3 linked regions of the Schizosaccharomyces pombe genome follow. The main gene of each other region encodes a partner of the protein of the gene in region 2 in a complex. Each region holds a gene or a part of one and is shown on either strand. Other genes may lie near its edges.

Region 1 (3,809 bases), 1.6 Mb from region 2:
CTCCTATTATTAAAACGCTTTTAGGCTTGAGTGACATATTCATAGTGAAATTTACGCTCAAATATCTTCATTGAAAGTTTATTCTACTGAATATGCTTAAGTGTAAGTATTTGGTCCTTTAAATTGAAGATAATTATATATGAGCCACATAAATATTATTCTCATGTTAGAAAAAAAAATTCTTGCTTTATTTATTTGAGTATTTCCATATGCTAAAACACTCTGTATCATAAAGTCGTCTTCAGCATTCTCACTTCAAAAACTTGTATCCTTTTCAATACTCCATAATTAATAATAAAATAAAGGAACAAAATAACAATAAAATCGTTCATTATTCATTCTTTATCGCTTGAATTTCCTTCCCATGTAGGCTCCCCTTTTAACCTCTTTACACGTTTATTTTCGTACTCCTCGTTCTGTAGATTCAACTGATCTAATAAGATCCTCTATAACAGGTGGTTAATAAAAAAGGAACTGGTGAATGTAAATTCACGAAAAGCAAATGCACTTTGCAGCTGGTTGCCAAAACTTAAATATTGTAAAACAAGATCAGCACTTTACTTACATAATATTCTTCATTAACGTCGACCTTTCTTCTTCTTTTAATAATGTCTAACTCTGCATCCCGGGACAAGGATTTAACTTGTTCATCTCGTCTGTTAAATTTGACTTGGGAAATGGGGATCAAGCATGACCAGACTAATAATACTGAGCTCAAAAACGGCAATCCAACGTAAATAAACGGACTTTTCTTGGCTTGAAGCCTATACCAACTTTTAAATCGATAGAAAAGCATTTTAATTTATTAACATCCTTACATTCGCTGAAAACGATGGATTGTTAAGAATGTGTAGTAAATAGCAAGTTGGTTAAGATGATTATGGCAAACTTCACTCAGCATGTTAGGATGGAAATTAATAAGATAGTCGTTGGTTTGTAATAATTAATTTTAAGAGTAGAGTTTTAATAGAAATCTGCACTTTGAAATCTTTTTATTTCTACTAATTATTCAAGCTGCATCGCGTGACAGCATTCCTACATAGCCCAAGCACTTCAGGTGAAAACCCTTTATAGTTTTAATTACAATACACATTAGGAAAAAGAAACATATCGATGGCATGTGCTAGTGACAGACTGTGACTTCCAGTAAACATGTGTTTTACTTTGTTTACCATAAAATGGTATGTAAAATGTTTATTGAAAGTAATAAAATAGCTGAGAAAAGACCATTTAATTTCAGCTTGTGATTCAAATGAAATAATCATGCTTTTTAGTTAGGATATTTGCCAATCCCTAAAAACTTAATATATTAATTGATAGTAAGGAGTTAACTTTGAAAAGCTATGTAGCTAAATTTTGGTTTGCTTCTTTTAAACGGCTTCAATTCAGCGCTATTGTTGTTCAACAAATGAAAAATTTTGCGACATTTTAACTAATCCGTATTTGAGATTCAAAAATCAACTAAAATTTTTCAAAAAAATCCTAAAACGAACAACGTTTATGAAAACGTCTTTTCCATTTATCTGAGTTGCCTATTTAATGTCAATACTTTTACTTCTATTCAATCAAGCAGAAGAGAAGGACACATTTGGTCTATTCGGGAATTTTTCTGACTGCTATTAAAAGCTTTAATATTACAAATAAGTAAACACATTACAATTAATTCACCCAAATATTTCAAATTAGTTATTATTCTAATTACAATTATTTTTAAGGAAGAACATGTTACTTTATTGCATGAGAGACATACAACTTACAACTGTATTTTCTTCTTTAACCTTATGGCTTCTACTAGAACGACAATCATAAAATTAATTGTACCGGCAGGAAAAGCTACGCCTACGCCTCCAATTGGACCTGCCCTTGGTGCTCGCGGGTTGAAGAGCATAGACTTTTGTAAAGAATTTAATGCGCGGACGGCAGGTTGGATGCCAAATACCCCAGTGCCTTGTAAAATTACTGTCACACCTCAAAGAACATTTACTTTCACTATACATACTCCTCCAACCAGTTGGTTAATCTCTAAAACCCTCGACCTTGAAAAAGGTTCAAGTTCCCCATTACATGATATAAAGGGACAATTAAGCTTGAAGCATATATATGAAATTGCCAAATTGAAAAGTACTGATCCAAGCTTACAAGGAATAGAGCTTCTTTCTCTTTGTAAAAGTGTCATTGGAACAGCTAAAAGCATGGGCGTCAAAGTCGTACCTTAATCTTATGAGACGCCAGAGCATTTTGTAACTGGTCATACTTGAGGTTATTTTTTTTTCTATCTTGTTATAAACTATTCCCCTCTTTTTTCTTGAATAAAAGCAGTTAATGATATGACTTTTTACTATTACCGACTAAAACGTTGTCCCTGTTTTCTTATTTTCTCCTTTTCTTAGTTGTTTTATATTATTCCTTCGTTAAACAAGCAAAGTAAAAAAACACGTTTGCCATATAAAATTAAAGAATTGCATACCGTTAGTTTACAAACACATCTTAGACTAAATGATTACCTTTAGCATTAAACTATCAATATAGATAACGAAACAGATATGCTAAGCAGAAAAGAAAATGAAGATTTTCAAGTGTGAGTTTTATGTTTACTCTAAGTCACGCCTTATGAAATGCAGCTCAATAAAAGAGAGCCTCAAACTCTGTCTATCTATCAAAAAATAAGAAAAAAAAAACCAAGATTAGTACTGCAGAAACGCTCGAAAATAAAAGAAATGGCTTATGCTATAGGGAGGCATAATTGATGCTTGGCTTGAATAACAGCATCACGATCACCAGTATTTTTCATGATATCGTCACTAATCTTCACTGCTTTAGTTCCTTCAGCGGAAAAAAGCTTAATAACAATATTCATAGGTTTGCTCACTTCACTGGGATTGGAAACTTTTTGGAAGTCGCTGGTAAGATTTGTGCCGATGCCAAATGCAGACTTAATGCCACATTTCTCGCAGTATTTGTACAGTTCGATACATCTGTCAACATTTAAAGCATCGCTATGAACAATTACTTTTGTGGAAGGATCGACACCTATTGATTTATAGTGCTTTACGACTTTTTCAATGTATTCCTCAGCACAACCGCTATCTTGACGAACACCATGGAAAACATTGGCTAAATCGTCGGCAGAATTGGCTGTAAAAGATTTGAGAAACACATCAGTAGAGAATGTATCCGTTAAGGCTATTAAAAGACTAGTACCAAAAGTTTGGACCCACTTTAAGGAAGCAATACGATTTGCTTGTTTATAATTTTGAGTAATAGCTGCAATGCCCATATACCACTCGTGAGCAACCGTACCAGAGACATTTAGATTATATTTGGCGGCGAAGTAAACATTAGATGTACCAAGGAAACTTCCAGGGCCCTTAAAATCCTCTTGTGCTTTCATGAGACCTTGGAGAACAATTTCCTGGGTGTGAGGATCACGACGACGACGAGTGCCAAAGTCAGTAAAGGCACATCCGGCTCGGATGAGACGCTTACCCTTCTCGTAAGCTTTTTCAAACTGACCCTCAGGTGACCAGTCCTTATCGACAAATTTAAAATAAGATTCTGAGACGAGAGCAAGCAGTGGAATTTCATAAAAAATGGTATTCTTCCAGAGGCCGTGAATAAAGATTGAGAGATCCTTAGTTTCAGAATCATAATTAAGGGAAATTGAATTTTCAGGATCAAATTCGAACTCATGCATGAATTCATAAAATGATTCCTTTAAATAAGGACAGTTCTTGCGAAGCCATTGCTCTTCTTCAGGAAGTAAATGTAAATTCCGTAAGCCTCTTATTTGTTCCCGTAACCAGTTATAA
Region 2 (5,395 bases):
TTGAGAATTTAATACAACAAAAAAAACACGCTTAGACGGTGCTTAAATAGGTTCAGTAATTCTTTCCTTTTTTTTGAATTATAAATAATCCTTAGTGAAAGAGAAAGTAATGAAGCACGTCAAATAACAATTTAATCTTACAGATTTACGTGGATAACCCTAAAGACAGTAACGGTGACCTTTTGTTTTACATTGTTTTCTTACTATTATTCGAAGACAAAGCTGAAAGAAAAAATACTTTTAGATTATACTTTCAATTAATTAACTTAACAAGCTTATAAAATTACCACTAGTTAATTGTTCGATTACCACGGGTTAAGAGAAAAGTGCTATCGAAAAGAATTATGAAACATGGATTTGTGCAATTTCTACTGCTGTTATTTACTAAAGTCGAATAGGACACAATCAAGTGGAGCTGTTTATATCGGTTCCACACCAGATCCACCTAGAGTAGGTATTTTGTGCTATTATAGGAAACTAATTTGTTTTAGCGATTGCGGCAACATAATGGGGAAATAGTTGGTGGTGCATCAAAAACTAAACACGGGCGCCCTTGGTCGATTTCATGTTTAGTTTACGGCTTTCCTAACAAAGTGTCTGCTTTAAAGTTCGAATGGAATTGGCAAAATCTGGGAATCTCGAGGTACACTAAAGATTGTGATTTCCGTTCAAAAAAACAAAAAACCATTATGTATTGTCTTAAAGGTTTAAAGCATTTGGTTGACAGTGATACGTGGAGAAGATGGCCATTAAACATCACATTTCTAAATAAAACTGCTTTCAGTAAATGGAATCAACTTGGTAAAACTTATGGTAATATCAATGTATACTTCGACGAAGAATGGTTAAATGGGTTTCACGAAAAAGTAATCCAAAAAACTTACGATCATAAATTATGTTTAAGAAAGACAATATCAGAGCCTGTTAAGTGTAACCTATGCTACGAATGTATCGAATCTGATGAATTGCGGGCTAATTGCCCTTTTACGGATTGCAATTCAATAAATCATTTAACTTGCCTTGCAAGCAGTTTTCTGACAGAAGAATGCCAGGTTCTTCCAATCGAAGGAATGTGTACAAAATGCAAAAGAGTATTGAGATGGAGAGAGTTCCTGTCTACGGTTTTCACTACTTCTTTAGAAACTGACGAACGAGATTTTGAAAGCGAAAATAGAATAGAAATCATAGATCTAGAACTAGAAAAATAGCGCCAATACTGTGTCAGCAATCTCTATAGTTAGTCTTGTTTATTCTACGGCTAGCCCATCGAAAGCAGGAGAAACGTCCATGGGTACTACCCCATCATCTTTCCATGTTTTGATAACATTTTCGATTATCTCCGTATGGTTAATGGCCAAACAAAATTGTGCATCAAATCCGCCGGCTCCAGGAACTCCCACACCAATGACACCAGGCAACTGCTCTATGTTGTCTAAAATATTTGTTTGCTTTAAAGGTTCTATGTCAACCTTTGCTTCAACGGTAATTCTTTGAAGAATACGACGAATGGATCGAAATTGACTTTGAAGTTCAGAGTCTAAGCTTTCAGAAGAAAGAAAACAGTTTTTGATGGAAAGCACTCTTGAATACAAATCATCAAAGCAATTCTTAGATTCCTCTGGATTTTCCTTTTGCCATTGCTGTACTTTTTTTACCATACCCGGTGTGCTACTGCCACCAGCTACGTCCCCCATTAGCAAACAATAAGTAGCAGGCAATTGAAATGGAACAACATCTGACCATTTTTTAGAAACTATTTTTCTCAGTTCGGTGGAAAAATTTATGTTCTTTATTTGTTCGTCGTATGGGACCAGCAGTTGTTCAATTAATTTAGGATCAAACCTTCTATAAATACAACTTCCCCAAGTGGCAGCGCCAACATCAAACCCACTTCCTACTTTTCCTTGTGCAGAACAGTGGGCAATTTGTGCCAGATTGTGAACTATGACTTTGGTTGAATCATCAATTTTGAGAGATTTGTCACCAGTGTCATCTGTTAGTCGTCTAAGACTTAAAAATAATGAACCTATAAGACTTGTAATCATAGCTGCCGAGCTTCCTAAACCAGTCTTATGTACTTGACCTAAAGTACAGTTTAAGAAATTGAATTTTGGATAGCTTGTTTGATCAGGCTTTAACTGTGGTTGGTGATAATAGGCATTATCTACCTGCAATGTAACTTGAAGATCTTGCCAGCATAAAGGTTGTCGCCCCGTGGAAAAAAAGTAGTTAATTACATAAAAAAGTGCCAGTTGAACGAAGGGGTTTGGATTTTTTTCCAATTCACAGTTTTCATATATCTGATGAACTCGAATAGGAGATACAGTCCAATCAATATTATAAAGCCATTCAGCGTTAATGAATTGAGGGCTTTTCACACGAACCGTTCCACATTTATCGTCCAAAGTCGTTGTGGAAGCGTACCCTTTGGCAGTTAAACCAATAACAAGCCCGCTGTATTGAGGATCTAAAACAATGTATCCACCAGCTATAAGTACTTTACCAGGAGCAGAGCAGGTCCTGCCAAAGACGCTAGTTAGAGATGGACAAAACAGAAAAAAAGAAAAAAGACTGGTTTCAACTTACACTTTCATGTTGATATATTTTTGTCTTGAATATGGATATCTCTATAATGTTTTGTGTGTCGTAACTTTTTTATAGGACCTGAGAAGGAAATAGAAAGGAATGTATGACTTCTATCTTACGTGATAATCTGTTGAATTTAGAGAAATGATATATCAGTCAAAGTAAAAGAGAGGATTATCTTCGAACAGTAGCTCCTGAAAAGTGTTATTCTAAAAATCAAAAAAAATAAAAAAAGAACTGATCAAAGAGTATCAAATGTTATACAGAAACTAAAGTTGCTTTGAGTAAATCAACTTTCTAAATCATTATCGTATCGTTCGTTTCGCAAGATTTGCTTGTGGAGAAAATAGTATAGAAAATTAACGTTAATTAAGGAGAGTTCGAAATCAGGAATACAGAGATTACATTAACGCATATTCATATTAGAGTATATAATTGATTGCATATAAAATAATATCTTTTACGAAAATGGAACATTAAGGTGGAAAGAAAAAAGCAAATCTTGCTATTGAAGTTTTCTGAATACCAGCGAGTTATTGATAGTATTATAACTACAATGAGAAGCCATGTAACTGAATTGGAACACGTATATTCATTCGGGTTCAACAGGAATCTTTCTATTGCCTTGAACATTCAAGGTCAGAAACACAATCCTTGATGGATAAATCATATAAAAATATATAATCAACTGTATTAACTTACATAGTCTAATATAGCGTAATGGAAGGTTGACAATAAATAACATATAACGAAATACGTTGTGCAGAATTTGCTAATTCATTTTGAATACCATCGTACTTACTTAAAAAGATACTCTGTAGAATATAGTGTTTTGTCATTCTTACTAACGAACGGTATTTAATGACTTTTGGAAGACATGTTTAATGCCAAACACTTTTTCAATTTAGGATTGGGCTTTCAATGGCTACAAAAGAGAGGTATTGGATCGTTAAAACGGCCTTATAACTTTCCAAAGCCAGTACCAGGTCCAAAGCACAAAGATGTGTTATCATTATTCGAAAAAAAGTGCCGTTCAGTATTGGATGAGCAATCTGAGCGATTCAAAATGTTTCATCGCTCGCAGCCAAATCGAGTAAGACCAGGCGCGGTTTTACTGGTTGAAAGCTACTCAAAATACCCATCAAAAGATTCAGTCAACAGATTTGCTGGTTATCTACTGCGAATTCGGCATCGTGGACCAAAAAGTTCAATCCTGTTACGAAACGTGGTAATGGGTGTTGGAGTCGAATATTTGTTACCAATTTACTCTCCACAAATTAAACGTATTGTTGTCCTCAAAGAAAATGGTCTATCTAAAAGACCTAGAAGAGCATACTTAAGTTACTTGCGTCAACCTCGCTTTCGTCTTCCACCTGTTGAATCACTGGTGCGAAAATACATTGAACAAAATCAACATAAACCTTGACACAATCATTGCAACTTCTGCAAGTAAATTTCTTTTTTTTTGCGAATCTTTCATGATTTTATTCAAGAAGCGCTGTATGATTTATAGTTCGTTTACACTCTATGTTTCCCTATCTACTTGTCTTTTTCTACAGGCTATTGCATTTAGAACTGCATTATAAGAGGCGTTGGTTGGTTTTCTGGAACAGATTTAGAGATTTGGATGTATATTTCGGCTTTAGCCTGTTTGTCAAAACACGTATTATCGATTCCATGAAACGGCAATGAATCACCTCCTTTGAGCCTTTTACCCCCTTCTCATTCTTTGAATCGACAAGTCACATGTCATTGCCATTAATTTTCCCAGATGAATTTGTGAGGCACTATGAATCAAAACCTCTACTTTTTTCTTATAAATTTGAGCTGTATGTAGGCTTGCCTCTTCATAATTCTGCGCTTTGATTATTTTGAATAATATTTGAAATTATTCATGTAAAAAAGTATAAAACTTGAGCTCAACAATATGTTATAAGCTAAAGAAGCAAAGTATCATAAATATAAAAATTTTGTTAGCATGTCGAATGTAGCCGGCTTGTTACAGTCCAATGAAAATTAGTTTTAGTTAGAAATTTTAAACTTTCAGAAAACGAAAAGATGTATAGCTAAAGCCAAATATCAACTGTAAATCTACTAACTCTTCTCTTCTTACGACATTTTGTTTTTCGCCTGAATTGTTTTCTTAATACCGTGGTAGAACGTAAAACATTAGCTAGCAAAAAACACTAATGTTTATTTAATTAGATCTCAAATACAATATACAAAGACTATGAAGGTGAAAATACTGAGTAAGCGAATATTTTGGAAATAAAATTGTTTTCTAACCACTAGGATACCATGCAATTGCTAACTGGACGTGGGATACCCCAAAAGACGACGTTTGTGGTATATGTCGTGTTCCATTCGATGGATGCTGCCCTCAATGCACAAGTCCTGGAGACAATTGCCCCATAGGTAAGAATATGTTTGTATTTATTTCCTGAATATGCTCTGCGGAGGCTTACTTGTATACTTTGCATCCTAAGGGGGTATCAGCATGAAAATTTGTTGCGCAATTGGGTTGGTTGTGTTCAAATAATCTTTAATCTAATATTCATACTTTGTTTTTGTTAAAAAGAGTTTATCATGGGCATCAGCTTTCACAGAATTAATTAAAGGCTAACTACGCTAGTTTGGGGGAAATGCAAGCATATATTTCATGCTCACTGTATTCAAAACTGGTTAGCTACTAGCGGTTCTCAAGGTCAATGCCCGATGGACCGTCAAACTTTTGTGGTAGCAGATTCTACGAATGAAAAGTCTGAAACACAATAAATACGATTGACGTATCGAATAAGACTTCCAAAGA
Region 3 (4,413 bases), on a different chromosome or scaffold from region 2:
TAGTTATTTGCTTGATTAAGCGTTGCTTTTTGTGACGAATCTCATTATAAGCAGCCTTAAATGAATGCTTGGTGTGCTTTGCTTTTTGAAAAATCGTAACCGCTGCAATCTCAGGATCCTTCGTTCTTGAACCTAGTCGCATTACTGAAGCGCCTTGATGCAATAAACGAATCAATATTTGATCGACTGCATGATTCGTTTGGCAAGCTACTAAAATCGGAAGAACATGGGAGTGAGTATTCTCAAGTAATGTTTCTATGGCTTTAAGAGTAACAAAGCTTTTACCAGTCCCTGGAGGGCCTTGAATAATGGAGAGTCTCTTAGTCAGCATGGACTGGTAAGCTTTTAACTGTGACGAGTCTAGTATATACTCGCCAGGACCGAACGGCTCAAGAGCATTTACGATTTTTTGAGAGTTATTTTTTAAGATAGAATTTATGCGTATCCTAGGATTATTTTGTATGTGTTTAGCAGTCTCCTGATTACTTTTACAGTGTACCAAGTAATCCTTCATCGGGAATGTGCTAGCAGAAAGCCTCTGTAATGAACGAAGAACATGCTTGTAAGCTTCCCAATAGCCTGAAGTAGCTTCGATCATAACATATTCTTCTCGAGGATCTAAAGAGATACTAATATCTTCAAATTTGACATCTATTTCATGAGGATGTTTATTAAGGCCACTCAAGGGCCGCGCACAGACAGTTCCAATGCGAAAAGTCTGGAAATCATCATTGCTTAATAAAACTAAAGATCCACTGATAAGACGACGACTGGTAGCCCATTTTATTTTTTTCTTAGCGCGAACACTGAAGGATAATTTTGCAGCTATAACACTGGAAGATATTGTATAGCCATCTATCCGCACATGATCATATACGGCTAACGAAGAGCCGGTAATGTAATTGGGGTTTACCTTGTACCGAAGCACACTTTCTCGTAATGGGGAAACTGCGTCCTCACGTAGCAACCGATAGTGTATAGATAAGTAATCTTCAAAGGACTTGTATCCTCCGTATATGTTGTTTGAAGGTAATTCAACACTCTTTGACGTCAATTCTTCCAACGTTGGAATTGATGGTAGTTCCCGCCAAGAAGAAGTATCGCTTGCGGGATGGTGTTCGTTTTCGAATTCTCTATTTTTTCCCGATGTTATATCATTTCTCTTTACATTACTCAATTCATAATCGTTGTCAATGCTTCTCTTACGACGTATTGACTTGTTTTCTTTTAAATTTTTATCAACTTTGTTCCCCTCCGAGTCTTGGGTTTTGGAGGTTTCAGAAGTCTCGATTTGTTCTGTGAAACTCGTAGTATTATTATCGGCGTTAAAGATGTTGCTATACAATGGGTGTCTTTTCATTTCACTTAAAGTTTCTGGCTCGGGGATTTCATCAAACACAACTTCTGTATTTTTGTTCACCATTTCCCAGGCGTCCAGCGTACTTAACTTCCAAATTTCATCTTGTACTTGTTCCATAATAAAAAAGAAAAGGATAATATCCAAAAAATTTCAAAAGGTTATTGTACTAAAATATCTCAGTACGCGCCCACTAGGTCGTAATATTAATCTCGTCCTCCCCAAAGAAGCTAAAAGATATCATAAATAACAATTCATGTACAGTCTCTGCACCTGTCTCTAATATTATTTGTCTAACATACAAATGGGTTGTTTGTTTACTGCCAAGGGCCGTTTTCTGTCTTTACGTGACCATGCATTTAACGCGTTCAGATAATACCCGCAATGTGCAGCTTAGTGTGCCAGCATAAAGCATGTAAGCATGTGTTAACATCGTTGTAAAGTTACCTTATCGTAGTTTATCCATCCTTGAAATAGATTTACAAACTGAGTAGCTTGCATAGTGATAGTGAGCTCTCTCATTTAAGATTTTTATAACTGTATAAGGAGGGAAATGCTAACTGACCTATAACATAGTACAGTTAGCAATTCGTTAGGTTGCAATTCCTATTAGTACCACCTTGGCATGTAATATTTACCTGGTTTTGTTACAACATTGAGAAAGCGCATTTGCTCAAATTAGTCGAAAACGTTGACTTCTATGTGTGGAAGGAATATTTGGGAAAAAATTTTTAAGATTTAATTATGAAATACATTAATCAATTTATGAAAATATCAAAGGGCTTTTTAGTTCCATCGTCCACGATAGGATTGAATTCTAAAACGTACCATTACAAATTTCCATTACTTTCTTTTGTTAGAGAATTTTCAAATGGATCCTACTTAAGGGAGTCTGCACAAAATCCTGCAAATTTGGGTTCGCAAAAAGGGTCCGACATTTTCTCAATGCTTGCTAACCAGAAGGACGATTCTAATCGTCAGCAAAAGGAAGAGCGTGTAAAAGAGAGACCAAGGTCACGTATTTCTTTCAAAAAACAGGAGACCATGGATCCTTCCTACACCTTACAATCAATGGTGCTTCGCTCCTCTTTAAAGAAAGTCGGCGCTTTGTGTCGTCAAATTGCCCATAAGCCATTTTATCATGCTTTACTTCAAATGAAAATGTCAGATAAAAAAATTTCCAAGTACATCGCAACTGCTTTGGTTTCTGCTCGAGAAAACGCTGTTCGTGAAGCTGGTCTTGATGAGAGTACTCTCTACGTTGATCAAATATGGGTTGGAAAGGCAAAGTATTTAAAGAAACTTATCACTATGGGCCGTGGAGGTCGTGCCATTGAGAGATCTCCACGGGTTCGAGTTACTGTTGTTTTAAGAGATGAGCGAGCTCTCTTGCGCGATTTACAGCGTCGTCAACAAAGACTAGAAAGAAAGAAAGTTTGGACGCCTCTGCCTAACCGACCAATATACCTAAAATCTAACTTTTTCACTTGCTAAGTCATTATTGAGATGCCCATATCTTTGATACTCTAATAATATTTCCCCCCAATATCGTTTATAGTAATTCTAGTGCCGTTTTTTTTTTATGAGAATATGGTTTCCCTTATTATTTATTTCTTTAGCAACGCCATAATTTTGTATTTACCTCTATGGTGCTGATGGTATCAGTAGAAAAATAGTACTGTAAAAAGGTAAACTAACCAACCTGTACATACATCACTTTTAGTTCAATGATACGTTTTCGTAAAGAACGCAATTCTTTTTAAACTGTCTAATCTTATTAAATCATTCATGCAATCGTTTGCCTCATTAACATTTTTCAAATTTGGTTTGAAGCATTGCAACGAGCTTCTTTTTTTGACTTTTCAAAACGTGCTTTGGACCATATGTTGAAGCTATCCATATCTCTTCACCATTTTGACACATATTTATTGGTTCTAAATTCATCAGACACTTTTAAACAATCAAGCAAACCGAGTATAAAATATCATTAATTCCCCAATTATTAGGTGTAAAGGTACGCTGGATCCGCATTTTAACTCATTTGCAGTAGCAAATGATCAGTAGGAAAAAAAAGGAAACAAACCGCATCAAATAGACAGTAATTCTTTTTAATGGGCCATAATGAAAAAATAAGTTGAGATAGTAAATGTATCAACTATATTAACTTGAACCACAACAATGAGTTTTTTTTTTTAAACTGTGGGTAAAAATTAATTTAGAGAAAATCAGTGTTTTCATTTAAGAATGTTTGGAAATAGAAAAAAAAATTTCGCATATTTAAACAAGACGTTTTGCAGGGTCATATGTTGCTAACCCCAATTTAAAAACATATTGAAAACATGCGATAAGCACAGAGAAAATAAAAAATATGATAACTATCAATAATAATGCATAATTTAATAAAACATTTCAAGCTTTTTGTAAATTTTTCGACGGCATTCATTTTAATCATCCATTTGGAATGGCGTCTCTTCTTCCACCGTACTATTCCACGGAGGAGAACTATTAGCAACGGTTATACGTGATACGCTATTATTGGTACTCACGACAGGATCATTTTTTGTATCACCAAGACCAGCGATGGTTTCCGGAGATGCTGTATCACTTCTAAAAATAGGCTCGCTCTTCAATCGAGCAAGACTCACAGGTCTTGAACCTTCAGTGGTTGGCGAGCTGAAGACGGCCTCTTCACGAACACTAAAACCTGAAGGTAACTTATAAGAGTTATTGACACTAGTGGCTAAGGGCGTGGTAGACATTGAACCCGAACCTTCAACATAACGAGACTTGGAGAAGTATGCGCCGAACCTACTACTGTTTAACGAATTCATAGTAGAGCTGGTCCGAGTACTTAAACCAGGACTTTTCAAGGAAGAAGTGTACTGCTTAAAGCTTGAACTTAATCGATTGATAGGTGATGAGCCCAAAATGCTTTCATCAAAGCTTCCTAAAGGCGTACTTAAAAAGCGCTGCTCCTCATCACTAACGTCCATTTGATGATTCAAATCTACTTTAGTGGGCAAGCTAGCACTAACCACTGAAGGAAATGCGCCAGC

What was found. Proteins that work in one complex are often made in the same cells at the same time.
Region 1: img1 (region 2) and mrpl19 share a complex: the UniProt entries of both Schizosaccharomyces pombe proteins name them as parts of the mitochondrial large ribosomal subunit.
Region 3: img1 (region 2) and mrpl22 share a complex: the UniProt entries of both Schizosaccharomyces pombe proteins name them as parts of the mitochondrial large ribosomal subunit.

Annotation. Positions count from the first base shown.
Region 1 is NC_003424.3:3,204,507-3,208,315, reverse strand, and holds mrpl19 (mitochondrial 54S ribosomal protein uL11m), read left to right. Parts: upstream 1-1,775; 5' UTR 1,776-1,781; coding exon 1,782-2,216; 3' UTR 2,217-2,354; downstream 2,355-3,809. Other genes in the region: cytochrome c oxidase assembly protein Cox16, read right to left, coding at 336-446, 566-796; npt1 (nicotinate phosphoribosyltransferase), read right to left, coding at 2,723-3,809. UniProt on the Schizosaccharomyces pombe protein: Component of the mitochondrial ribosome (mitoribosome), a dedicated translation machinery responsible for the synthesis of mitochondrial genome-encoded proteins, including at least some of the essential transmembrane subunits of the mitochondrial respiratory chain.
Region 2 is NC_003424.3:1,638,292-1,643,686, forward strand, and holds img1 (mitochondrial 54S ribosomal protein bL19m), read left to right. Parts: upstream 1-3,403; 5' UTR 3,404-3,463; coding exon 3,464-4,012; 3' UTR 4,013-4,641; downstream 4,642-5,395. Other genes in the region: structure-specific endonuclease catalytic subunit Slx1, read left to right, coding at 352-450, 492-1,208; erg8 (phosphomevalonate kinase), read right to left, coding at 1,248-2,520, 2,587-2,594; anaphase-promoting complex ubiquitin -protein ligase E3 subunit Apc11, read left to right, coding at 4,817-4,835, 4,879-5,001, 5,219-5,361. UniProt on the Schizosaccharomyces pombe protein: Component of the mitochondrial ribosome (mitoribosome), a dedicated translation machinery responsible for the synthesis of mitochondrial genome-encoded proteins, including at least some of the essential transmembrane subunits of the mitochondrial respiratory chain.
Region 3 is NC_003421.2:2,026,719-2,031,131, reverse strand, and holds mrpl22 (mitochondrial 54S ribosomal protein uL22m), read left to right. Parts: upstream 1-1,997; 5' UTR 1,998-2,101; coding exon 2,102-2,851; 3' UTR 2,852-2,958; downstream 2,959-4,413. Other genes in the region: helicase Hrr1, read right to left, coding at 1-1,477; SPOM_SPCC1739.01 (zf-CCCH type zinc finger protein), read right to left, coding at 3,802-4,413. UniProt on the Schizosaccharomyces pombe protein: Component of the mitochondrial ribosome (mitoribosome), a dedicated translation machinery responsible for the synthesis of mitochondrial genome-encoded proteins, including at least some of the essential transmembrane subunits of the mitochondrial respiratory chain.